Linked DNA regions of Cricetulus griseus. The protein of the gene in region 1 purifies or fractionates together with the protein of each later gene. This does not show direct contact. Links are inferred from orthologs where the notes say so. Each region holds a gene or a part of one and is shown in the gene's direction. Other genes may lie near its edges.

Region 1 (12,556 bases):
AAAAAAATGACACTAGAACCCCTGGCATGCACAAAGCCCTGGGTGCAATCGCCAGCACTGCATATATTGAGCATGGCAGTACACCCCAGCATTCAGGACCAAAGACAGGAAGATCAGAAATTCAAAGCTATCCTTAGCTACTTAGCCAGTGGGAGACCCCTAGGATATATGATATAGGTGATCCTGCCCACCGCCCCCAGGAAAATTCACCTTCAGTTTGAATATCTATTACAAGCTTATTAGCACTACTGTCCCCCAAGGTTAGGGATGAGCAAAGATGTAACTCAGGCCACATCTACTCATTATACTTGAGGCTCTAACTTGAGCAGTAAATAAAGAAAACGAAAAGGGACACACATCAAAAAGGAAGAAATAAGTGGACATGGTGGCTCATACCTATGATGCCATCACTCAGATTACAGGTTCAAGGCCAGGCATGCTACAGAAGACTTTCTCAAAAAGTGAACAACAATTAAACAAACAGCAGAAGGATAGCTTTGAAATTTAAACAGTCACATAGTACACCTAAGCCACTAGAGAACACAAGACCATGTGCTTAACATTGTTACCACCATCAGCTAAGAGCCAGAGCGGGAGGCAGCTCCCCTCTGTCTGTTGAGCTGAAACTGCTAACCATGCAAAGTTACGGAAATCCTTCTTCAACCTTGCTGGTGGTAATTCAAAACAGTATAAACTAAAACTTTGGGCATGTGTGTTGTTTGTTTTTCTTTTGAGATGGCATCCCACCTTCTTAGCAAAGGATCGAACTAAGAAACTGAAATTGCCTGTGCAGGAGAATATATAACTGGACAGTGGTGTACAGGGAAGGGGATGCTGGGAGATAATGAAAAGGACAAGGCATTAGTTACCTTTCTCATTGCTGTGACTAAATACATGCAAAGAAGCAATGCAAGGGAGAAGGTTAATTCTGGCTCATGGTTTGATAGGATACAGTCTCCCATGAATGGGAAGGCACGGGGGCGGAGTGTAAGGCTGCTGGTCACATTGTATTCATAATCAGGAAGCAGGAAAAGGAATGGCAGTATCCAGCTGGCTTCCTCTCCCCCATCCCCCTCTTTTTAGTCAGTCTAGGACCCAAATCCAAGGTGTGTCTCCTAGGTAGTTTCAAATCCAATCAAGTTGGCAATAAAGACTAACCATCGCAGACACCGATGAAACTGAAAACTGTATTGACTGGCAGAAGCGAGTGTGTGAACACATATCAATAGTTCCAGTCCTAAGAAGTTCAAGAACAGACAAATCTGTGGCTTGTGGAGGGCTGAGGGGCAGTTTGGTACTGACCAGAGAAGCACACAGAGGGAGGGCTGCAGGGCAATGTGTTACCAACTGAGGATTCAGAGGTTATAGAAAATGTCCTGCTCTTAATCTGGTTGCTGGCTATCTGAATGCACATGGCTGCTAAAAAATCCACAAAACTGTCCAGGCATGGAGGCTCAGGCCTAAAAACCAGTACTGGAGAGGCTGAGGCAGAAAAATTGCCACAAGTTTAAGGGCAGCCTTGGCTACATAGTGAATTCCAGGCTACAGAATAAGACTCCATCTCACAAAAATCAAAACAATCCATGGATCTGGGATGACAGTCGAACTCCAGGGGTAGAATGCTTGCCCAGCAAATGGGAGTCCCTGGATTATGAAATCCTAGTACCACACAAACCAGGCATGGTAGTGTACCCTATAGTCCCAGAACTTAAGAGGAGGGAGCAGGAAGATCAAAGATTCAAGGCCAGTCTGGACTACACAACACCCTCTACTGAAAACAAACAAATAAACAATCTATGGAGGTATATACTTAAAGATTCTGTACCTTAGATCAGGGAGATAGCTCATATATCATTGTCTATGACTTGATATCAAGCCTAATGACCTGAGTTCAATTCCCTGATATCCACATGATGCAAGGAGAGAACCAACCCCCCCACAAGATGTCTTCCAACTTTCACAAGTGTCTTCTGTGGCATGCATACACATGTACATACATACTAAATAGATAAATAAATTTAATACAAAAATTTTAAATCTGTGTGTTTTGATGCCAGATAAATTGTATTCCATTATAATATCTGGATAAGTTAAAGTAAGCTACAATTTATAAGGGGAAAATTTCATCATTACAGAATATTGATATTGATACTAAATAATGTTTTTTGCTCAACTGGATCTTCATGAGGACTTGGTTAAAAACCTGGTTGTATTTATCTATTTATTTATTTTTGAGACAGGGTCTCACTATATAGCTTTGTCTGGCCTGGAGCTTTCTATGTTGACTAGGCTGGCCTCAAATTCCCAGGCCTCTGTAGACTGCCTTAAGTGATGGTGTTAAAGGTTTGTCACTGTGCCTGACCCTGACTATGCACAGGACGTTGTGAACTTGTCCCTAACCCAGGAAATCCCTGTCACTTACTTTGGAACCAGGGTGGCATGGCTCCAGTTGGATTTATTCTCACTTTTGGTTCTAAGCTCTTTTCTTTCTTTCTTTTTTTTTTTTTTTTTTTTTTTTTTTTTTTTTTTTTTTTTTGAGACAGGGTTTCTCTGTATTGTTTTGGAGCCTGTCCTGGCACTTGCTCTGGAGACCAGGCTGGCCTCGAACTCACAAGAGATCCTCCTGCCTCTGCCTCCTGAGTACTGGGATTAAAGGTGTGTGCCACCAAAGCCCGGCTGGTTCTAAGTCTTAAAAATAAACCCAGCACTTGGGAGGTGGAGGCAGGTAGATCTCTGTGAGTTCAAGACCAGCCTGATCTATAGATTGAGTTCCAGGACAGGCTTCAGAGTTAGAGAGAAATCCTGTCTCAGAAAAAAAAAAGTTACGGTTGGGAAAGGTTGAACACAAGTTTTTTTAATGGTATTTTATGATGTGAAATTCTCACTTAGGAAGAAATCATGATGGCCTTTGAGGGAAAATACTTTTGTTATTTAATGAGATACTGAGGATGCATGTCAGCCTGGGTCTGCATACAAATCCCTGTCACTCTCACCTGGCTTGGTACTGATGGCAGAAGAAAACTGAGCAGAGAAAATAATGGTTATATGTCTACCTTTCTTCTTTCTTCAAATGTTTCCTTAATAACTCCTGCTTAAAAGCCTATTTAGGTCTGGCAAGATGGCTCAGCATCTGTTCTTGCAGGGGACCCTAATTATGTTCCCAGCTTCTATAACTTCAGCTCCAAGGCATCTGCTGATCCTTCTGGCCTATGTAAGCTTGGCACTACCATGAATACACACACCCATACACATAATTCAAGGATAAATTAATAGTATCTTTAGATGGCTATTTTGTGAGCAATCACACTTGGGGAATCTTTAGGAGAACATTGAGAATGGAGAAAACCCAGAGGATTGGTTGCTTCAATTTGTTAATCAAGATACTAAGCACTTAGTATGTGCAAGCATTCTGCTGATGCTAGAGTAAAACATCAAGTAAAAGACATACTGTCCCTGCCCATATGCAAGTTAGAGTTTATCCAGAAAATAATTAACTTTAATTCTTATCGATTTCAAGGCATAGGCTACCTCTTGTCCAGGCTGAGTTCATTATGTAACCTCGGTGGTCTTTGAGGTCACAGCTGTCTTCTGCTCCAGCTTCTCAAGTTCTGGGTCACAGGCCTGGTGCCACACCTTATTTAATAACTTAAAAGAAAAAAAAAAAAAGGCCAGCAATAAAATTGCAAGAGAGACTGACCACATGACTCTGCCCTCAAAAGGAGGCTCAAAGGTAGATGGACATCTATCTCCATGTTATCAACAAACCTAGTGTCTCAGGTGGACTTCCAGTTGGAACTGTGTTGTCAGAGCCAGACAAACTCACCTGCCTGCCGCTCAGCCTGAGCAGAGTCCACAATACCGCATCCATCCTATTCCTCAAATGACCAGGGCAGGTCTCTCTTCCTTCGAGAAAAGTTGCTTAAGTTTGCTGCTAACCCACTGAAAATGGAAGGAGACAGACTAGTTAGACTAAAAGAGCAAAAGTTTTTCCTAGAGCACTGATACAGTTAATCGTCATCCCTTGTAAGAGAAAATGCTAAAGGCAGGGATTTTGTTTTTCTACATCTATTCATCCTGTTTATAAAACGAAGAACAGCAAGGCAAAACCACACACACACACACACACACACACACACACACACACACACACACAAGAAAAACACCTACTAAAACTGATCAAAGCAACAGGGTTTTTTTTTTGTTTTTTTAAACTTAAAGAAAGTGTTTATAGCTGGGCGGTGGTGCACGCCTTTAACCCTAGCACTTGGGAGGCAGAGGAAGGTGGATCTTTGAGTTCAAGGCCAGTCTGGTCTACAGAGCGAGTTACAGGAGTCAGGACTACACAGAGAAACCCTGTCTCGAAACCCACCCACCAAAGTACGTACGTATGTATGTATGTGCGGGTGTTTTGCCTCATGCCTGCGCGCATGCATGTGCAGGGCCGGTGGAGGCCAGGAGGGGGGAACTGAAATTTCAGGTGGCTGTGAGCCGCCTTGTGGATGTTGGGAACAGAAGTCCAGCCCTCAGGAAGAACAGCAAGTGCTTTTAGCTGCTTAGCAGTCTTCAGGCCCTCAAACAAACCTTCCAAATACAAGAACCAACGTGGTTCTAACCTCTTTAAAACAAAGTCTCACTATGTCCCTCAGGCTGACCGGGAGTCACAGAGATCCTCCTGCAGTTCTGGTTATTATCTTTAAAACAATAAAAATAACCACGAGGCGATCTACATGGCGTTTTAAAAATGTTCCTCTCATCTCCTTCTTTTTTGTCCAAAACAAAAAGTGAAAATAACCAGAGAGACTTTTACAGCGTTAAAGGGTTTTTTTCCCCTAACGTCAAATATGCTTTTTTTTTTTTTCTTTCTTTCTTTCTTTCTATTCGGCAGTTGTAGACTGGAAAGTTGTGACCTTTTTTTTTTTTTTTTTCTCTGTGAAGAACTTGGGGGCTGAAGCGGGGGCAGGGCCTCTTCCAGGCAGGCCAGCCCAGAGGCTGCACATCTGTTTTCAAGTGAGCTGGCTACCATGAAGTACAAACTGTCAGGAAACGCCTCGGGGACGAGCCGAGCCCAGGAAGTCACGGAAATCCCCGGCCGGCCGCCTGCCACCGAATGAGAAGGAAGTGGTGTGGTTTGCCCCTCGGAGTTCCCCAGCCGGGGAGGAAAGCACCGCGGGCCTGCGCGGGAGGGCGAGCCTGGGCGGGGCAGGGTGAGGCGGGTGGTGGGCGCGGTCCGCCTGGACGATTTAAAGGCGTCGTGACACTCAGCCAACCCCATAGACCGGGCGACAGGTGCCACCCCAGAGATCGGAGGTCCCTGCGGGCGTGCAGAGCCTGAGGAGCGGGCTGCGGTGAGTACGCGCGCGCGCGCGCGCGCGCGCGCGGAGAGCGAGTGAGCGTCCCTGGGGTGGCTCGAGGGTCGCCAGGGTGGCTGGATCTCAGGCCTGCAAAAAACGGCTGCTGTGCACCTCTGGTCCTGCCCACTGGCCCTGGCTGCCCAGAGGCAGCTGGGAGACTTGAGACTGTGAGAACCTGGGCTTGGGGAAGCTTGAGCATGGGAGTGGTTGTTTTCTTAGTAATCAGCCTGGAAGTACACTAGGACTCTTTCTTTTGGGGGAGGGATAGGTGTTGGAGACCACTCGCACACTATAGGTAGGTCCCAGTGGCTTTGAACTCTGGAAAATCCTCCTGCCTTAACCCCTTGAGTGACGGACTTACAGGTCTGAGTCACTGCACCCAGTTTCTCAGTAGTGCTCTTAATCTAGTCAGGAAATGGCTGTGGTCATTTCTCTGTCTACTACATGCCAGGGTCTGCCCTAAAGACTTATGTCACCAACTGTACACTTAATCACCAATTGTAAGCAGTGGGCACCGTTATTAACTCCATTCTGCAACGACAAAACTGAGGTACTTGTGGTTTTTCTGGGCTTCACTGTGTATCCCTGACTGGCCTGGAACTGTGTAAGTAGAACAGGATGGCTTTGAACTCAAGGCAACTTTGATATCTACCTGCCTCTGCTTCCGGAGTGCTGGGATTAAAGGTATGTCTGGTCTCCTGGTTGTTTCCTTTGTAAAAAGGGACTGACACCCGTCCTATGATATGTGACTTAATAAATGAAGGTGCTATGGACATGATGAGCCCTGTCAACTGTGCTAAGAAATTCAACAAGAAGTTTTGCTGCGATTAGTAGTGCAGGCCTGTAGTTGTGGTACTTGGGAGTTCAATGCCAGTCTGGGGTATATGTCTCACACGACAGTTACAAGGCTCAGTGTCTTTGCTCGGCCTGTGACTGTGGCTACTACAGAAACTAAAGTATACTTCCTCTTCTGAAGGAGAAATAGTCCAAGGTGGAGGGAGAAAGACACATTTACCCTGCAGTGTCATACAGCCACCCTTGAGGTCTACAGGAAACGGTAGAGTAAGCAGAGAAGAGACCGGGTTGCCAAGCTGACCCGCAAGGAACCACTGTGAGGGACAGAGGACTCCTACATACTGATGTGGACAGGGGCGGGGATCAGGACAGGTCTAAGAGGAAGTAGGTCCCAGTGGCAGATGGCAACACTTCCTGTGGATTTGATGTTATGAATATGGAGTGTTTGAGGGGTGCTGGCACACAGAATATCTGGTTGTGTGGAGATGTGATTCACAGGCAAATGTTCTTTAGGCTTGGTTGGGAGGACCTGACCCGGGAGAAGCTAGAATAAAAAGCGGTCTTTGAGGTGGTCTTCATTTGGAAGTTGAGAGGGACTCAGCATAAGGACTGTGGCGGGACTAGGGTTGTGCAGTGTTTGAGGAGACGTGAGGCAGAGTCTAGTCAAAGCAGTAGGAGAGAGTGGCTCCATGAGGGGGTAGTTGTTTCTCTGAGGCTGCCAAAAGGCTTGAGACCACAGGCAGGCAGGGGCTGCACCTCTTTTTGAAGAACACAGTTAACTGAGTGAATGTGGCAAAGAGAGATTGGAGGAAGGGGCCGAGGCATGGAGGTATGTTAGGATGTAAAGAAAACAAACCCTCTGTTGCTGGGAAGGTGTCTATGGAAACCAGTGTAGCATCTCAGAAAACTAAACACTGAACTGCCATATGACCCAGCTTTCCCACTCCTTGATAGGTACATGGAGGAGTTTAAGACAGCTTGGGAGAAATTCCTGACTACCCTGTGTCTTAGTCACTGTTCTGTCACTGTGAGGAGACATGACCAAGACAACTTATAAAAGAAAGCTTTCACTGGAGGCTTGCTTATGGTGTCAGAGGCCCACTCCACGATCATCATGATGGAGCATGGCAGTTTGCAGGAAGGGACGGTGCTGGAGCAGTAGCTGAGAGAGAGCTACATCCTGATCCACAAGCAGCAGGCAGAGGGAAAGCCTGGGCCTGGTGTGGGCTTTTAAAACCTCAAAGCCGACCTCTAGTGACACACCTCCTCCAATAAGGACACACCTCCTAATCTTTCCTAAACACTCCACCAACTTGGGACTAAACAGTCAGATATATGAGCGTATGGGGGCCATTCTCATTCAACCCCCCACACTGTTTATTGTATCACTATTCACAACGGGACAGATTGAATGCCTGTTAACAGATAAACGGATGAAGAAAATGTGTTTGTGTGTGTGTACACTGGAGTACTATTCAATTGTAAAGAGAAAGGTATAAGCCCTTCATTAGTAATTCTAATAAAGACAATTAGAATCTGAGTTGGTGGCTCATGCCTGTAACCTCAGAACTCAGGAGGTTCAGGCAGCATACTACTGTTTGAGGCTAGTCTGGGTTACAGACTGAGTACCAAGCTAGCCCTAGCTGTAGCATATCTGTCTAAGACAAAACAAAAAAGGCACGTGAGAAGAGTAAAGTATTATGACTCTTGAAATTACTGCAAAGAGCACTGGGGCTGGAGAGATGGCCCAGTGCAGTCAGAAATAAAAAGGAATTTCTAGTTTTGTAATTTCATTATTGTTATATAAGATGTTAATTTTGGGAAGCTGGGTGCAAAGTATATGTGACATCTGCAAGTTTTTATATATATGCTCTGGTCTGTAACTCATGAGTTCTGTGTGAGATTTCTTGGCTGACAACACCCAGTGCAGCATTGTTTTCTCAGAGTTGGGGACTGAGGTAGGAGTCTTGAGTATGCTATCTGAGTGCCCTACCACTGAGCCCCGCTGACAGCCCGAATTAGCATAGCTTCTTGCTACAGACCAGTTTCTGTTTTGTATAAAGCATCTTAAGGAAAAGATCATGGTGGCACTTGCTTATAATCCCAGGATTTGGGAAACAGACAGGAAAATCATGAGTTTGAGGCTGTCTTAGACTACACAGGGAAATCCCAGTCTCGAAAAAGAGGGAGTAGGGGGAGAAAGAAAAGAAAAAAGACATTGTATTATAAACCTGAGTTGTTTGACTTTAATTTCTCTATTTTAAACAGGTTTACAAAGGACACAAACCCTTCTACTACTTGTAGCTTTTTTTCTGTTTTTTTTTTTTCTGTAAACCAAAACATCTCAAAATGGAGGCCTAAACCCCTTAAAGGGACTTAGTCTAATCTTGGGAGGTAGTTTTGTGCATGGACAGACAAATTCAGCCCTCAGTTGACTTTCGGGACTGTTGTCTAAAGATGCTCATTTGAAGTCTGTAGTCTGATTGTCTGAGGCGTTGAGTATTATGATTTGGTTGTGAACTTGACTCTAGGAAGGGAAGGAGTTCTGTGGCTGGGCACAGTGATGAAGCACTCTTCAGAAAGTTGCCTGGCAATTTCCCACTGGCTGGCACTTTTTAAAAAGTGCCCACATTCAAGAAAGATCCAAACATGAGTGCCGGCTATCCAGAGGAAATGAGTAATCTGCTTTGCACAGTAGTACAGAAGTGTACTCATGAGGTCACTGACACATTCAAAGATTGCAACAATGACAGAGAACAAACAGGAACAAAATGTTCTCGTAGGCACAGCAGATTTAGAGGAAGTAAGACAGACACTACAAGAGAGTTGAGAAACTGTCCACCATTGGTATTTTAAAGGTCTACACAGCACAACTTTTAAATAGACTGTAAGCATGAGAGTTATTTTGGCAGATGAACTAGTTTATTCAGAAAGAAATGTCATAGAACGACCAAGTTTTCATAACCCTGTGGAGGGGACAGAGAGGTTAGACACAATGATTTCTCCTGAGAGAGACTCTTGTTGACAGCTGTGGGATTTCTCCTGCCATTTAGAGATAATGAGTTGGTGTCCTTGGTAGAGAACCTGCCATATCTGTGAACTGCAGGAAGCCACTCCAGCCAGTGGCAGCAAACCCCCATGCCTTTACACAGGATGAATTTGCTAATGGCTAGTGAGTCCTTCTATGAGAGACTCTCAATTTGAAGGTCTCTGTGTTCAGATGGTAATAGACTTGTTTGTTTTGATAAATATGTGCTCAGGGAACACACTCTGTGACATAATTTCTGAGTTTGGGTCTCAAGCCTACATTCGTGGCCCACACCATTAAATCCCAGCACTCAGAAGGCAGAGGCAGACTGATTTCTGAGTTTGGGGTTGAGGCCAGCCTGGTCTACAGAGTGAGTTCTAAAACAGCCAGGACTACATAGAGAAATCCTGTTTTGAAAAAATCAAAAAAAGAAGGAAGGAAGGAAGGGAGGGAGGGAGGGAGGGGGAGAGAGACAGAGAGAGAAAGAAATTGAGAGATTGAGACTTGCTGTAGAACTGAGTGGTACCACACAGGCTTTGTGAGCCAGAGGCCCTGGGCTCAGTCCCCAGTGCTACAGATGAACAAACTCGGTGTTCTAAGTAGTTAGTAAGTCTTGGTCCTTTGAAAGGAAACAAAAACCAAACAAAACTCTTGAAGTGGTTTATTATTTTAAAATCCTGTCTGATCCATGTTTCATTCTATATGAATACATACATAGCTTCATGAACCAGACTTTCATGTGCAGGTTGGGTGAACGCCATTAGTGCCTCCTTGTAGCAAGGAGAAGCAGGCTTGCCCCTCAAGATGCCTGGCCCAAAGTGCCCAAACACTATGTTTCCAGGATGGAATTAAGTTCTATCACACATTGGCTCTTAGGGAGAATCTAGTTTCTATTGTATGCATGAAGATTGTGCAAAGGTATGGTTGTGTGTAATTGTGCCTTAAATGTATCAGGGTAGGATTTAGACTCTCATCCTACTGAATCCTGAAATACATAGAAGAAAAAAAATGAGTTTGTTCTTATTTTAGGTGTTCAGCCTAGTAGTAAAACTGACCAAAAGCCATGCACAAAACTACCTCCCCAGAGGAAGGCTGGTCCCCTCCCCTCCCTACCGATTCGTCATGAACATGGCTCCAGACAGTGTCTTCCTGTCCAAGCTGATGAAGAGTGCCGACACCTTTGAATTGAAGTACGACTTTTCATGTGAGCTGTACCGTTTGTCCACGTACTCAGCTTTCCCCGCTGGAGTTCCTGTATCGGAAAGGAGCCTGGCTCGTGCTGGCTTTTACTACACGGGTGTCAACGACAAAGTCAAGTGCTTCTGCTGCGGCCTGATGCTGGACAACTGGAAACAAGGCGACAGTCCTGTGGAAAAGCACAGGCAGCTGTACCCCAGCTGCAGCTTTGTTCGAACTCTGAATCCAGCCGGCAGTCTGGAAACCAGCCCTCAGCCGCCTCTTCTGTCTGCAGAGCCAAGCGCCGTGCCTTCATTATTTGCAAGTTTGGAGAACACTGGTTATTTCAGTGGCTCTTATTCAAGCTTTCCCTCGGATGCTGTGAACTTCAGAGCAAATCAAGATTGCCCTACTTTGAGGACAAGTCCCTACCACTTTGCAATGAATACGGAGAAGGCCAGATTACTCACCTATCAAACGTGGCCATTGTCCTTCCTGTCACCAGCTGAGCTGGCCAGAGCCGGCTTCTACTATGTAGGACCTGGAGACAGGGTGGCCTGCTTTGCGTGTGGTGGGAAACTGAGCAACTGGGAACCGAAGGATGACGCTATGTCAGAGCATCGGAGACATTTTCCCAATTGCCCATTCTTAAAAGATCCGAGTCAATCCGCTTCAAGATACTCTGTCTCTAACCTGAGCATGCAGACACACGCAGCACGAGTTAGGACGTTCTTTAACTGGCCTCCCAGTGCTCCCGTTCATCCTCAGCAACTTGCAAGTGCCGGCTTTTATTACACAGGTGAGAACCTCAATCTGAGACTCTTAAAGATCCAACATGTGTTATGTTACACATGTGACTGAGCAAATTTTGTGTACTCACAAGTGTGCTTCAAAATGAATTTTAGGACACAGTGATGATGTCAAATGCTTTTGCTGTGATGGCGGGCTGAGATGCTGGGAGTCTGGAGATGACCCCTGGGTGGAGCACGCCAAGTGGTTTCCAAGGTAACTGCCTTGAAATTCTCCTTTACATCTTATAAGATTTTCATGAGATACATTATCTTCCTTAGAGTACCTTTGCCCTTTTTTTTTTTTTTTTTTTTTTTTTGAGACAGGGTGTCTCTGTGGCTTTGGAGACTGTTCTGGAACTAGCTCTTGTAGACCAGGCTGGTCTCAAACTCACAGAGATCCACCTGCCTCTGCCTCCCGAGTGCTGGGATTAAAGGCGTGGGCCGCCACCGCCCCCCCCCCCTGTATCTTTGCTCTTAAGTACTGCAGATTTTGTTTTATTTTTTTATGCATGAGTATTTTGCCTACTCACGTCTAAGCACCATTTTGTGCAGTGCCTGCAGAGGCCAGAAGAGGGCGATGCACCCTCTGTGAGTGGAGTTAGAGAGGGTCTGAGCCAACTCTTGGGAGTTGGGAATCAAACCTTGGTCCTCTGGAAGAACAGCCAGTGCTCTTAACTATTGAGTCATCTCTTCTGCCCCATTACTTCAGATTTTAAACATTGTGAAGATTATGAAGAATATCCCCCCCACCCCCTCGAAAAGCCAAAAAAGAAAAAAAGTATTTACATAGATTTTTTTAAAAAGTGCTTTCCATTACTCTAGTTAAATTTTTTAATACTTTTTTTTGTTTGTTTTATGTGTGTATATTTTGTGAAGGTCAGAGAACACTTTTTGAGGGCTGGTTCTCTCCTTTTATCCTGTGGGACTGAACTCATGTTACCAAACTTGGTGGCAAGTACCCACTGAGCCGTCTCGCCAGCCGCTACAGTAGGAGTCCTGAGCCTGCACCAGCACTGTATGGATTCACTCTGTACTTGCTTTAGCAGGGGATCTCTAATGTAGGGATTGGGAAGCTCATCAACAGAAGGTTGTGCTGAGTGTCCCCATTCTTTCCCTCAAGTCTGTTTGCATGTTTTCAGACCATGACATTGTCACTGAAATGATCACATGACTTATGGAGAGAACTCTCTGCGTCCATGTTGGCTTAGCGGTATTTTTAGAAACCTAAGAAGAATGGAGAGCAGGGAGAAACTCTGAGTAGAGACCTCTTGGTGGCCTTGGCTTGAGGACTGTGCTGGGAGCTCCTCGTGATCACCACTCAGTGGCTCAGCCTTGACAGCACAGAGGCTACTCCTCTCCATGATCCTGCCTTTCGCTACAGCCCCTTCCTCCTTCCTGTGCCAAGTCAATAGTGT
Region 2 (12,446 bases), on another chromosome or scaffold:
GGGGGCCCAGGGTAGAGGAGGGGGCCCAGGGTGGAGGAGGGAGTCCAGGATGGAGGAGGGAGCCTAGGTTGTAGTCCAGGGTGGAAGGAACCCAGAGTGGAAGAGTGGGGTCCAGATGGAGGAGAGAGCTCAGGGTGGAGGAGGGGTTGAGGGATTGGTGGGTACAAGTGTGTTAGCTCTAAGACCAGAAGACTTTCAGAACACTGAATTCTCTACACCTCTTTGTGGTGGGTCACCATGGCAGCTCAGCAGAGCCATGGAGTATGGGGAAAGCACTTTGATGCCGACGGGTCCAGAATATCTTTCTCAGCTGAACCTTCTAGCACAGCCCTGTATCCTAGCTGGCCAGGGAGCTGAAGCAGGAGGGTCAATTTGAGTTCAAGATGAGCCTGGGCTACAGAGTAGTTCAAGACCAGCCTAGGTAATTTATAGAGACTTTGTTTTAAAATAGAAGAGTATGAAAAGGTCTGGAGATTTGGCTCAGAGATACAGTGATTGCCTAGTATGAGAGAAACCTTAAGTTCCACCCCCAGGAACTTGTTAGAATTTTGTTTAAATTAAAGATAAAGAAGAGGAGGAGGCACAAGATGAGAAATAGGATGAGACATATTAGACATAGTAACCAGTTTATTATAGGCCCAGTAGAATAGGGAGACTAAGAAAAGAGGAACATGGTTAATGGCTGACCGCCATAAAGAGTAGAGAGAGCGTAAATGGGCAGAGATCTGTCTTTTAAAGGGGTCCTCTGCACCTGCGTGCAGACTTAGTTCCCATGGAACCCTGGGCTGACCAGGGTACTGCCTGTTCCGCTAGGTAACAGGGGCAGGCCAGCTTAATGTCTGAACCTTTCAGACCTCCCGAAATAAATAAATATAGATTTCAAAAAGAACATCTTTCTGTTTGGTTACTCAGCATTCATTTATCAACATGCCAGACACTGTTTCAGCATCGGTGGAAAGGTAGAGAAGGAGCTGGCCTTACTGAGGCTATGGTCTAGCGGAAAAGTAGAGTGGACAGTAGTCAAATAGGCAAGCTCTTACCCTGTTCTCTCATATGGTACCAGGCTAAGATAAAGAGAGAAATAGCAGCTTTGTACTCTTGAGGCCAAGCCTCTGCCATTTTGTACAGTTTTCTGAGTACAAGTGGCTCTGACAAGATGAGTTCAAAGGCTTGGAGCTGCAAGCACTGTCAAAACCATTAGGCCAGACATTCCATTTTCTTTTGATTTACCTTATCTCAACCCCCATCCCTCCCTCTCTCTCTCCTTCTCCCTCTCCCCCATTCTCTCTCTCTCTCTCTCTCTCTCTCTCTCTCTCTCTGTGTGTGTGTGTGTGTGTGTGTGTGTGTGTGTGTCTGGTGTGAAGAAAACACCACTTCTTGAGGGAACCCACTACAAAGCACTCTAGTTCTCACTGCATTTCACTCCCTTTTTGCTGCTCTCTACTACAACTCATTTTAGCTTTGGGCCTGTCCTTTCAATTACTTTACGTTCTCCACTTTGCATTATCACAAGTTAGAGAAAATGCCCTTTTGCATAAGCAATGTTTGTAAGCCATGTTTTGTTCTGAGGTGCTCAAAGGTAGAAAGGCAAGGGTAGGCATGCAAGAAAGAAAACTTCTACAGGCCCAGCCTCTCCTCGGTGACATGTGGATCACTTCCATCTTTTCTGTTTTATCTTTAAGCTTCCATGAGGACTTTATTGAAGAGGGGGTTCTATAATTAGGGGGGAAATTGGAGGCCTGCAGGGATGGCTGAGTCACACAGCGCTTGCCCAGAAAACATAAGGGTCCAAGTTCAATTTCCAGCACCCTTGTAAGAAGCCAGTTTGGTAACTCTAGTGCTGGGAAGGTGGAGACAGTTGGGTTCCTGGGGCTCACTGACCAGCTAGCCTAGCCTATGCTAGTGAGAGATCTTCTGTTGCTATGATAAAATCCCCAGTGAACGCAACGTCAGTCAGTAAGGAAGAGCTTACTTAGCTCATAGTTCCAGGATATATACAACATGGGGAGGAAGTCATGGCGGAATGACCTGGAAGCATCCATCCATAGTAGAGACCAGAGGGAGGTGAGCATCAGTGCCCAGTTCCCTTTGTCCTTTTTGTTCAGCCCAGGGCTGCAGCCCAAGGAATGGTGCTGCTAAAGCCAGGGCAGATTTTCCTGCCCCGATTAACCTAATCAGGATAATCTGTCACAGGCAGGCCCAGAGGCTAACCTAATCCACAGAATTCTTCTCAGGTGCGCACAGAGGGTTACAATTCTAGATTCTGCCAGGCTGACACTAAGTATTAGTCATCACAGTCATCACAGAATTTGTCTCCAAAGACAAGGTGGGGCCAACAAGATGACTCAAAGGTAAAGGCACTTGCTGCCATGCCGGGCTGGCTTTCCATCCCAGAACCCACACGGCGGATGGAAAGAACCAATTTCACTGTTTGCCCTCCAACTTTAACACATGAACTATGACACACACACACACCCCACACGAGAGAGAGAGAGAGAGAGAGAGAGAGAGAGAGAGAGAGAGAGAGAGAATGTGATGCCAAAGATTTCCCTCTGGCCCCAGATGCATGGATGCACACGTGTAATATGGAGCCACAGACATACAAATACACACATACACACAAAAGTTTGAAAACCCTCGTTTCCAGTGTTTACCCGTGACCAAGCCACTGGTGTAAATGTGAACGCAAGCAAAACTGGGAACAGTGTGGGCACTAAGACACTTTGGCTGCCTGGGCTCAATAATCCTTCATATCTTAGAAGCAGCCAGAAATCAGCTTCGAAGCCACCTTCCTCCTCTACACAGACCCCTGCTGCTTATGGAGGACTCTGCGAGTGTCTCCCCAGAGTTGTTAGGATGGATCCCTAGTTTCACAACTCTGTTGATGTCACTGGTTCCAGGTACCAGTTCAATATCAGAACCAACTGAGAAGTTCTGAAACTGCCACTGCCACTTAAAAGGCTAAGTATGGTTAGCACATGACCCAGAAATTCCACTCTTAAGGCTGTCCCCAAAAGAAATGAAAGCATATGCTCACACAACTTTATGTGTGTGTCCACAATACTCATTCATGGCTGTCAAAATATGCAGAATGAATCCAAATGTCCCCAGAGTGACATAAATAAGACGTGGCCTATCCATGCTTGGAATACGAGTTGCCCACAGAAAAGGAATAAAGTACTGTTACAGTTTAAGCTGTGGCCTCCTCGTCACAGTGCCAATGCCCTGTGTGTCCAGTTCCATCTATTACCTTCCTAAGCCCTGAGCTCACTTCTGGCCCCTTCTACCTCAACAGTCTGCAGGGTGATCCAGTCAGACTCAGCTGGGAACCCGTTAAGGGGCCCTACAGTCTGCAGGGTGATCCAGTCAGAGTCAGCTGGGAACCCGTTAAGGGGCCCTACAGTCTGCAGGGTGATCCAGTCAGAGTCAGCTGGGAACCCGCTAAGGGGCCTACAGCTCCTTTCCCAGCCAGTCTAAAGTCGCTCATTGTCTCTTAGGAAGTCAGACAACCACATGACAACCTTTCCTAGCCTGCCTAGACAATAGACCTGAGGACATTACACACTTTTGCCTTGCTCCAGCATCTGCTCAAGCAGCCTTCCTGAATGATTGTGTCCTGACAGTCAGTCGGTGCACCACTGGTGATGAGAACACCGGTCTCGGTATCAGAGATGAGTAGAAATCCGGATTCTGCTACCTGCTGGGAGAATGGCCTTAAGCAAATCATGTTTTCTAAACCTTAGATTCCCCAGCTGTCAAGGGAAGATAGTAAGTCTCCCTAGAGGCAGTTGTCAGGATAACATTGTGGAAGTTCATTCATTTTCACCACATGGCACCTCCCGGGTCTCCTTCACAAAGTCCCCATGCTGGGACAGGGGATTTTCCCCACACATTATTTTGCCATTAACACCCAGGAATATCTATATATCTCAGAGATAGTCACTTTCATTTTCTATTTACAAGAAACTTCTAGCTCACAATCACCTGGAATTAAATGTGTTGTTCAGTACAGTATCTTATATCCAACAGGAAGTTCAGGATAAATCATTAAGTTGTTAAGGCTCCACTGATAAAATCCTGCCACTCAGCTTAAAGCTTTGCTTTTAAGATGTTGTTTGTCTTACATCTTACCACTTGTAAATGATATATTCTTCCTCCCCCTACAGCCCTAGAAAAATTCCCTAATTGATTTCTACTAATTGTTCTCAGAACACATGTCAGCATCTCCCCAAAATTCACATCAACTGGAACCTCAGAACGTGATCCTATTTGAAAATACATTCATGTGTTGTGTCCCTTAACCACGAGGAGACATTCTGAGAAACTGTCCCAGCATCATGGACTATTATCTCAGTGCCCTGTGTTTGCAGCTTCCAAATCACATCTACAGAACAGGATCAGGTATCTCCGGTTTCAGAGTAGGACATGCGTACACTTACAAGTTGAGATGGCAATGTAGGTTGGTTCCCAGGGTTGGGAAGAGGTACTTATTGCAAAGAATGGCCAGGCATGTTTGTTTGAGGCAATTATAGTCTTGCCCTGTGATTTAGTAGAAAAGGGGAAATAAGTTTCCTAATGGAGGAAGAGAATGCGTTAGAAACCGAGGACTGAGAACTACAGGATACGATCATACACAAGGCTCAGGTCGGAGGACGGCCTGAAACCACTTCAACACTTGCCTGAACAATATAGACCTGATTGCAAAGGAAGAAAAAAGGAAAACTGTTGACAATTTTTCATGACCAAAAGTGACGGTGAAGAGTGTTCACAATGGTACTGGGTGGAGGGAGAATAAAGCTTGGAGCTGTTTCTCTTTCTCACCCTTCTCCAGTCTATTCTTTTTGATAGCTACTGTGAGCCTTTCAAAACAAAATCCAATCTCCCCGCCCCTTCTCTTCCAGGCGTTGTCTCTCACAGCTCCCACTTAGCACCGCCCACCTAGCCCAACCGCTACCTCCTGGGGTTTACATCAGACCGGAGCCGCCCAGCTTGTCTCCCCTCCTAGAACAGTGAAAGAGACCCTCAAATCATAGACGGCACCTGTCACTCCTCTGCTCTGAAGTCTCCATGGCGTCCCTTCTGAGTCAGAGTAAACCTGCATGACTCAGAGCAAAGTCAGATTATACACACAGAGTTCATCTCCCTGTCACACGGAGTCTGCTCACTGGTGGGGCACTCCACTCCTAGAGATCTTTCTCCATCTGTCCACAGGGCTCCTGCCTCACTTCCTGAAGGTGGGAAATTTATCCCTTCTCTCAGTGAGTCTGCACCATCACCCTTCCTACTTCCCTTCTCTATTTTTCCTCTTAGCATTTATGAGCTTGTAACATGTTAAATACCCACACATAATCCTATTTGGCGTAGCACTCTATCTGGAGCTCCTGGTCCACTATGTCCTATGGTTTGCACACGCTGCTACAGTTAGAATACCATCCTGGGAATAGCCATCTGGTCTCCGATAAGAGAACTTCCCCATCACAAGGTGACTAAAACACTTGCCTAGTGAATAATGATAATGGATAAAAACAAACACGAGCGTGCAACTGTGCACCAAGTAACTTCAGAACCTTAACTATATTCCAGGAGGCCCTAGAAGAATCTATCTCTATTGCTAGGTTAGTAAGGGGATACGTTCCTAACAGTGACTTAAAAGTACTCCAAACATTGCTTTAGGTGCTAAAATAGTGGGACTGCAGGTGATGTTTTTAAAGTTAACACCTTTTTTCGTTATTTACTTGTTTACTTTGTTGTTGTTATTTTGATTTGTTTTCTGGTCTCACGATCCTCGTGCTCCTCCAGTCTCCCTAGTTGTGGGTGTCAGCGGGCCCGGACCAGGCCCTCAAACATTTCAATACTGAAGTTATATTATGTGCGCGTGTATGCTTTGCACACCTGTAAGCGTTTGTGCACGATCGAGCAATCATAAAACCTGGAGCAGCAGCACAACAACAGGAAATCGTTGCGCAACATCTGGAAAAGAGAAGCAAAGCAGAGGACCTGACGGCGGACTCGGCCCACGCTCCACCCAAATGCGGAGTCTGCGAGGGCGGGGAGATCCCGCTAAACTGAGCGGCCACGGCCCCGCCCACGGAAACGAGTCCTTCTCGGCAGACCAATCCGCAACCTTATGCAAATAGATCCTGGGCGTGGCTAGAGAGGCGGCCCCTGTCGGCGAAGCCACTCCGGAAGAAGGAGCGAGAACCGCGGGCTAGCACTGATTGGCTGGCCCTATTGGGGGCGGGGGCTGACGGTAGACCCGCCCCTGGAGGGTGGAGCCTGAGCTAGGCCTTCCAGCCTAGGGACGGGGAGGGGGCGTGGCGAGCGAGGCTCCGCAGGCCTCAGGGGCGGAGCCGGAAGTGGGGCGCTGAGATTCCGCACCTCCGCGTTCCGGGAGCCGGCCGGCGGTTCCCCCGGATCTGGTCCTGGTCCCCCAGAGTCACCGGTGGCCTGCGTCCCGGAGACCGGAGGCTTCAGCCTGGGCGGGGCGGCGCGGCGCGGGCCGGAAGGACGCCATCCCGGCCCTGGCCATGGAGGCTCCTGCGCCGTCCCTAACCGAGGAGGACCTCACTGAAGTGAAGAAGGACGTGAGTAGCTCGGCGGGCGAGCGGGGCGGGCGGAGGAAAGCGGAAACCCGAAACCCGGAGCCGAGCGACCGGGAGCTTGGTGTCGGAAGAAGGCTGGATCGGGGCCCGGGGCCGGCTTGGGTGTTTGTGTGCCCTCCGCTCCCCGCCGGGGGCTCCCCATCCTGCCGACCCCCGCCCGCCTCACCCCGCGGGAGCCGCTAGGCCAGCGCCGCCCGGGGTCCCCAGGCAGGAGCGGCCGGGTGAAGCTCGCCCAGCTGGAAGCGCAGCCCGGAATTCCCCGCCGTCAGACGCCCACGCATTTCAATGCAGGGGGGTGTGCGAGCGTCGAGCGAGGCTCGGCTGCCAGGCACACGTTTGAAAACAGTCAGCGGCTGCCTCGCACGCCTGTGCTGAGACCGGGCGGAACGGCACAGGCACCTTACTTAGAGTTTGTGACCCGAGGCACGATGCGCTCGCTTCCTTTCTTCTCTTACTCCAGTTACGAGTTTTGCCAGAAAGTCAGATAAGCGCCACTTAGATCATATACGTGGATTCACGTTAAAGACAGTAACTCGTTCTTTGCTTAGCACCGTAGGTAGTGCTGTTGGAAAACCGTCTTTGCGAACTTGAGAGCAAGTTGTTGAGGTCGTTTCTGCTTCAGATCCCTGTTTCTGCCGTACTTTATCCCTTGTAAGGTTTATTGCATTGCACCCATGATTAAAATTGGCGTAGTTGAGTGGGGTTCGTGCCCCACGTAGTTCCCTTGTTCGGTGTTGTTGGTAGGGCACATCCTGTCCAGAGAGCTTCTTCACATTCTACTTGGGACTAGGTCTTTCATAGCTACCATAGTCTTATTTAAGATGCCAGTAAAACCATGTACTAAAGTATGGCGGCTATGCTTCCAGTTCCGTTTCACACGGTTTTGAATTTTCTCACAATACCTGTAAAGAAGAGAATTGCTTTTCATTTTATAGCTGGCAGAGCAGGACAAGACCTGTCTGTGGACACACATGAGTACTGCAGACCTTTGTCACTGCCCAGTTGGTTCGTTATGACATTAACAGTTTAGCCCTGTATCAGATGTTCACAACTGTAGAGAAACTATGCATGAGCTTCAAGGTGTCTATAGAACGTATTTTTCCTCAGATATCCTATTATTAAAGCTGCTCATGACAAGCTTAAAAATTTGTCGACATAACTTGAACCTCCTTCTTTCTCAACCTCAGACCTCTATTCCAAGTGTTTTCTAGGAATCAAGTTTTAATATTATACAAGTTATTCTTACATTTTCAAAAATGGAGCTTTTCAATACCCCTGCCAGACTTCGTGCTGTTCCTCCTGTACTATCTGTCCTGATAAATAATGGGAAGTTGTGCACATGATACTGTTTTCAGGGTCTCCTTTCTGTGGCTTCTGTTGCCTGTGGTCAGCCATGGTCCAAAGATATTGGACGGGAATTTGACAAGTTACATGGTACAAATTGAGCACTGCTCTAAGTAGCATGATAATCTTGTACCACTCACTGCATCTGACCAGGGGCATGAGTCACACCTCATCCCTAGTCTATCACACTGTGAGCTTTTCCTGCCTGTTGGCAGCTGCCTTGACTATGAGATGAGTTTTTATGGCAGAGAGCTTGGGTATGAGATTTGTACCTTGAGTTTCAGACATCCCCTGAGTCTTGGGGACCATTGTCCAGCTGCTGATCCCCCGGGACACCTGTGTAAAGTGGGGCACAAATAATGTGTACCTCAAAGAAGTCGACCAAGTTTGACGAGCACATGTTTTAAAAGTACTCACGAAACCAGTCAGTCCTCTAAACAAGGTGAACCATGGAACAGAGAGAGCCGCCTGAGTGCGACCCTCATATTTAAGGTCTTGCTACATCACTGACCATACCCTAGTGTGCGTGCTCTGCGTTACCTGTGTCAGCACCCAAGAGGGCATGGCTGACATTTCCCCTATAATTCCCCTTTTAGTCTAAAAGAGGATTAAAACTTAACAGTGTAAATTATCTATTATAAACAATCATAAGGGTAAATTACATGAGGTTATAATAATCTACTAATGTCACATCTTAACTATAACTATCCCAACTAAACCTTAAAGTCATCCGAAAGAGATGTCCAAGCTTGAACACCTCCTTCCAAACCCAGCCTTAAATAATAGCAGACTAGGTGTAAACAGTGGGGAAAGGGGATGCAGTGTTCTCCATGCTACTTCCTGCTGAACTGGGATGACAGTGACAACCCCGTGGGGTCCTGTGGGAAGAAATGTTAGTGTAATGAAAGTCCTGAATGTGTTATATCCAGTCCATGTTTGGTGGGAGGTGCCTGATTGAAGGTCCAGGTTGAAGTCCTTGTCTCTATTGAAGTTCTTGTGTTGATTGAAGTCAGTACCCGAAGTTCTGGCCAGAGTGTCAGCTGAAATAAGTAAGATGGATCCAGTGCAATTGAGGAGGTGTGGCCCATTTTCTTTCTGGAGCATCCAGGGGTTGCTGTCAACAGGTCTTCATTGGCTGTGTGGGACTCAAAAATAAATGTTAGCAGAGAAATATTTGCTTGTATATGTATGCATACCGGGAAAGGCAACCATGGGAAAATAAGAATTATGAAAGGATGTACACCTTGAGAGAAAAAGGCCAAGAAAAGACAAATGACAGTCCCTGATCTTTCCTCTATTCTGTATTACATCAATTGACTTCTTGATATAGTACAGAAACTCTGAAGTTTAACAAAGTGCTTGGATTTAGAGGAGGAAAGCCAAATCCACCTCTAAAGCCAGCATTGGTTTAATTGAATAGGGACTAGGAAATAAAGAGAAACCCAGCGCCTGTGAAGTAATTTACATCTTGGTGTCTTCAGGCACCATTATTGTAATGGATAATGCAGGAACTGGCTCCCTACACTTTTGTTTGATGGTTATAGCTACCTTTTCTTCTTAAGTATCTACCCATGCAGTGTCCTTTGCCTTCAGGAGATGAGTTTTCCTGTGAAGATAAAAGAAAAACCCTTTCCTTTGGGAGGTTTCTATACAGTTTATGAGATACACCTTGGTATGTTACCTGTCATTCTTCCTCATTGAGAGGTTTTTCGTTTTTGACTCGAATTTTGATTAACTTTGATGGTATCCAAATTTTTCTTCTCCTGTGGAAACAAAGGCGAAACCCCTTCCCCAACGTAACACATGTCCTGGTTTCCATACAGAGATTAGTACATCTTTGAAGTATACCGGCTGATTCAGTTCTGCAGTTTTTTCCATAGTCCAGTGTCTTTCTGCAGCTGTTTGTCCTTTCTCATTGGCATTAAGAAAGTTTAGTGTTAATAAAGCATTATGCAACCTATGTTTGGGGGGTTTAGTCTTCCAAGCTTGTTTGTTGAGCATCTCCTTAAGTGTTCTATTAGATCTCTCAACCACTGCTTGTCCTGTAGGATTGTGTGGTATACCAGTAACATGCTTTATGTTATAATATTTGAAAAATTGTTCCAATTTTGTAGAGACATATGCTGGAGCATTGTCAGTTTTTATTTGTGCAGGTATACCCATAACTGCCATCACCTCTAGCAGGTGTGTAATAACAGAATCAGCTTTTTCAGAGTTAAAAGCAGTAGCCCATTGGAACCCTGAGAATGTGTCTATAGTATGATGCACATATTTCAAATTTCCAAACTCTGTAAAGTGAAAGACATCCATCTGCCAAACCTCATTTCTCCGAATGCCCTTAGGATTACAGCCTGCTGGCAGTGGAGTTTGGTTATAAAAGGAACAAGCAGGACAGTTTCTCCTTGGCTTGTTGCCAAGTGAAAGAGAAGTCCTTTTTCAAACCTTTGCTATTTACATGATGTTTCTTATGAAATTCTGAGGCTTCTAGCACAGTGCCAATCAATAAATGATCAATCTCATCATTGCCTTGTGCTAGTGGGCCTGGCAGACCCGTATGGGATCTGATATGTGTAATGTATAGAGGATTACTTCTGTTTCTGATTGTTTCCTGTAATTGTAAAAACAGAGAAGTTAATTCTGTATTATCAGGAACGAAATCTGCAGTCTCAATGTGTAAAATGCCTCTTTCTGCATATTGAGAATTAGTAACTATATTAAGAGGTTCTGTAAAATCCACAAGTACTATGAGAATTGCATATAATTCTGCCTTCTGTACAGATGTATATGGACTTTGAACTATTTTACTTACCTCTCCTGATTTTTAACCTGCCTTACCTGATTTGTTGGTATCAGTGTAGAAGGTAAGGACTCCAGAAGTAGGAGTTTTTTTATAATATGTGAAAGAATCCAGACTGTCTTTTTTATGAATTTAATTCTGTCAGTTTTGGCATAGTTGTTGCCGATCGTTCCCAAAAAGTCAATAAGAGCTATCTGCCAGTATTCATTGTCCTTCCACAAGGAGGAAATTTCTTCATTAGTTAAAGGTTTATAATTTCTGCTGGATCTTTTCCAGGCAGTTGACGAAGTCTTTAATTTGCCCTTTAGAATCAAATCAGAAATCTTTTCTATATATGTCTTTAGCTTTTTATTCTGTTTATGTGGCAGGAATATCCACTCCAATATAATATCTTCTCTCTGCATCAGAATTCCAGAAGGGTATTCTCTGGATTGTAAAGTGACCGGAATTCAGTCTAGATTAGGGTCTGCTAGATCCACGTGTGCATCCAGTATTCTGCTTTCCACCCATTGTAACTCTTTTTCTGCTTCAGCAGATAGTATTCATGGACTGTTTAAGTCCTTGTCCCCTTTAAGGGCCATTTTTAAATGCTTTAAGTCATGTCCTTCTCTACCAATAATCAAGACACAGCTGCTCCTGACACACCAATTACGTCACAAAGGAGGATGGGCATCGAAGAAACTCCTTATGGAGTTTGCCTTCAACATGGCAAGATTAGCCGTTTGGGCAAGAAACTGCTCTTGCCTGGACTGTTTGTTGCTGTATAAAATGGACATGCAGGACCCACAAGAAAGTGACTGCTGAACTTACAAAACAAGATGAACAGTCAGTCCTGAAGGGTTCCTGTTGAAATGGAGAAGTGTGCCAGACACACTGTGGCCTATGGGCTGAGGATGGATGCCCCAACGTTACAGAGGAACTTTGGGTGACTGTCCAGGTAGTGATGTCTCTGTCAATTCTAGAGTTTATATATTATCCTTCTGTGGTCTTTGATAGAGTTGAAGACAGATAGTTATGGTTATAGTTTTCTTCAGTTATTATAAGAGATAAGTTACCCTTCTTTTTGTTTAGTCAGAAGAGAAGATGATGGGGAAGTGCTTCTGTGTGTGTGTCCGTCTTATTGGACGATAAGTAAAGTACTGTTTGGCCAATGAGGAGGAACTTATGCGGGACTAGGAGTGAAGGAGGATTTGGGGAAATGTAGTAAAGAAGCGTTGTTATCCAGGCAGGAAGTGCCATAGCAGGGACACTCAAATATAAGCAAGAGCAAGAAGGAAGTCACCCCCCCCCCCCCCGCTCTTCCTCCTGGTCTCTGCTCTGGAGTCGCCGGCAACAGAGGGCGCCAGCAAAAAGTGTCTGATAAGTTTTATAAAATATATAGATTTATGATAATTAAGACTGAGCTAGCAGATGAGAATCCTAGTCATTGGCCAAGCAGCATTTGTACCTAATGTAACTCTCTCTGTGTTACTTGGGACCATAACGTGACAGAACTTGCGCGGCCGGGCAGAAAGACTTCTTGTTACACCTGTGTCTCCAATGCTCCTCCCCTTTTTCATGTTTATTTAATATGTCCTGGTTTTGGTTGAATTTGGTTCATCTTAACAAACAGAGATTCCATGGTACCCTGTTAATGTAATTTGGTTCTAACAGTTAAATTGAGAACCAAGAGAAAATCCTGTTTTTAAAATAGCTCAATTTCT

What was found.
Region 2: the proteins of baculoviral IAP repeat-containing protein 3 (region 1) and Bcl10 purify together in Homo sapiens (affinity purification with western blotting; 5 studies listed by BioGRID and IntAct, with this or other methods). This does not show direct contact. The link is inferred for Cricetulus griseus from reciprocal best matches to the Homo sapiens genes BIRC3 and BCL10.

What each region holds. Positions count from the first base shown.
Region 1 is NC_048597.1:122,237,273-122,249,828, reverse strand, and holds the start of baculoviral IAP repeat-containing protein 3, read left to right. Parts: upstream 1-5,210; 5' UTR 5,211-5,345; intron 5,346-10,203; 5' UTR 10,204-10,296; coding exon 10,297-11,149; intron 11,150-11,255; coding exon 11,256-11,355; intron 11,356-12,556. UniProt on the Homo sapiens protein: Multi-functional protein which regulates not only caspases and apoptosis, but also modulates inflammatory signaling and immunity, mitogenic kinase signaling and cell proliferation, as well as cell invasion and metastasis.
Region 2 is NW_023276806.1:13,247,873-13,260,318, reverse strand, and holds the start of Bcl10 (B-cell lymphoma/leukemia 10), read left to right. Parts: upstream 1-6,346; 5' UTR 6,347-6,527; coding exon 6,528-6,584; intron 6,585-12,446. UniProt on the Homo sapiens protein: Plays a key role in both adaptive and innate immune signaling by bridging CARD domain-containing proteins to immune activation.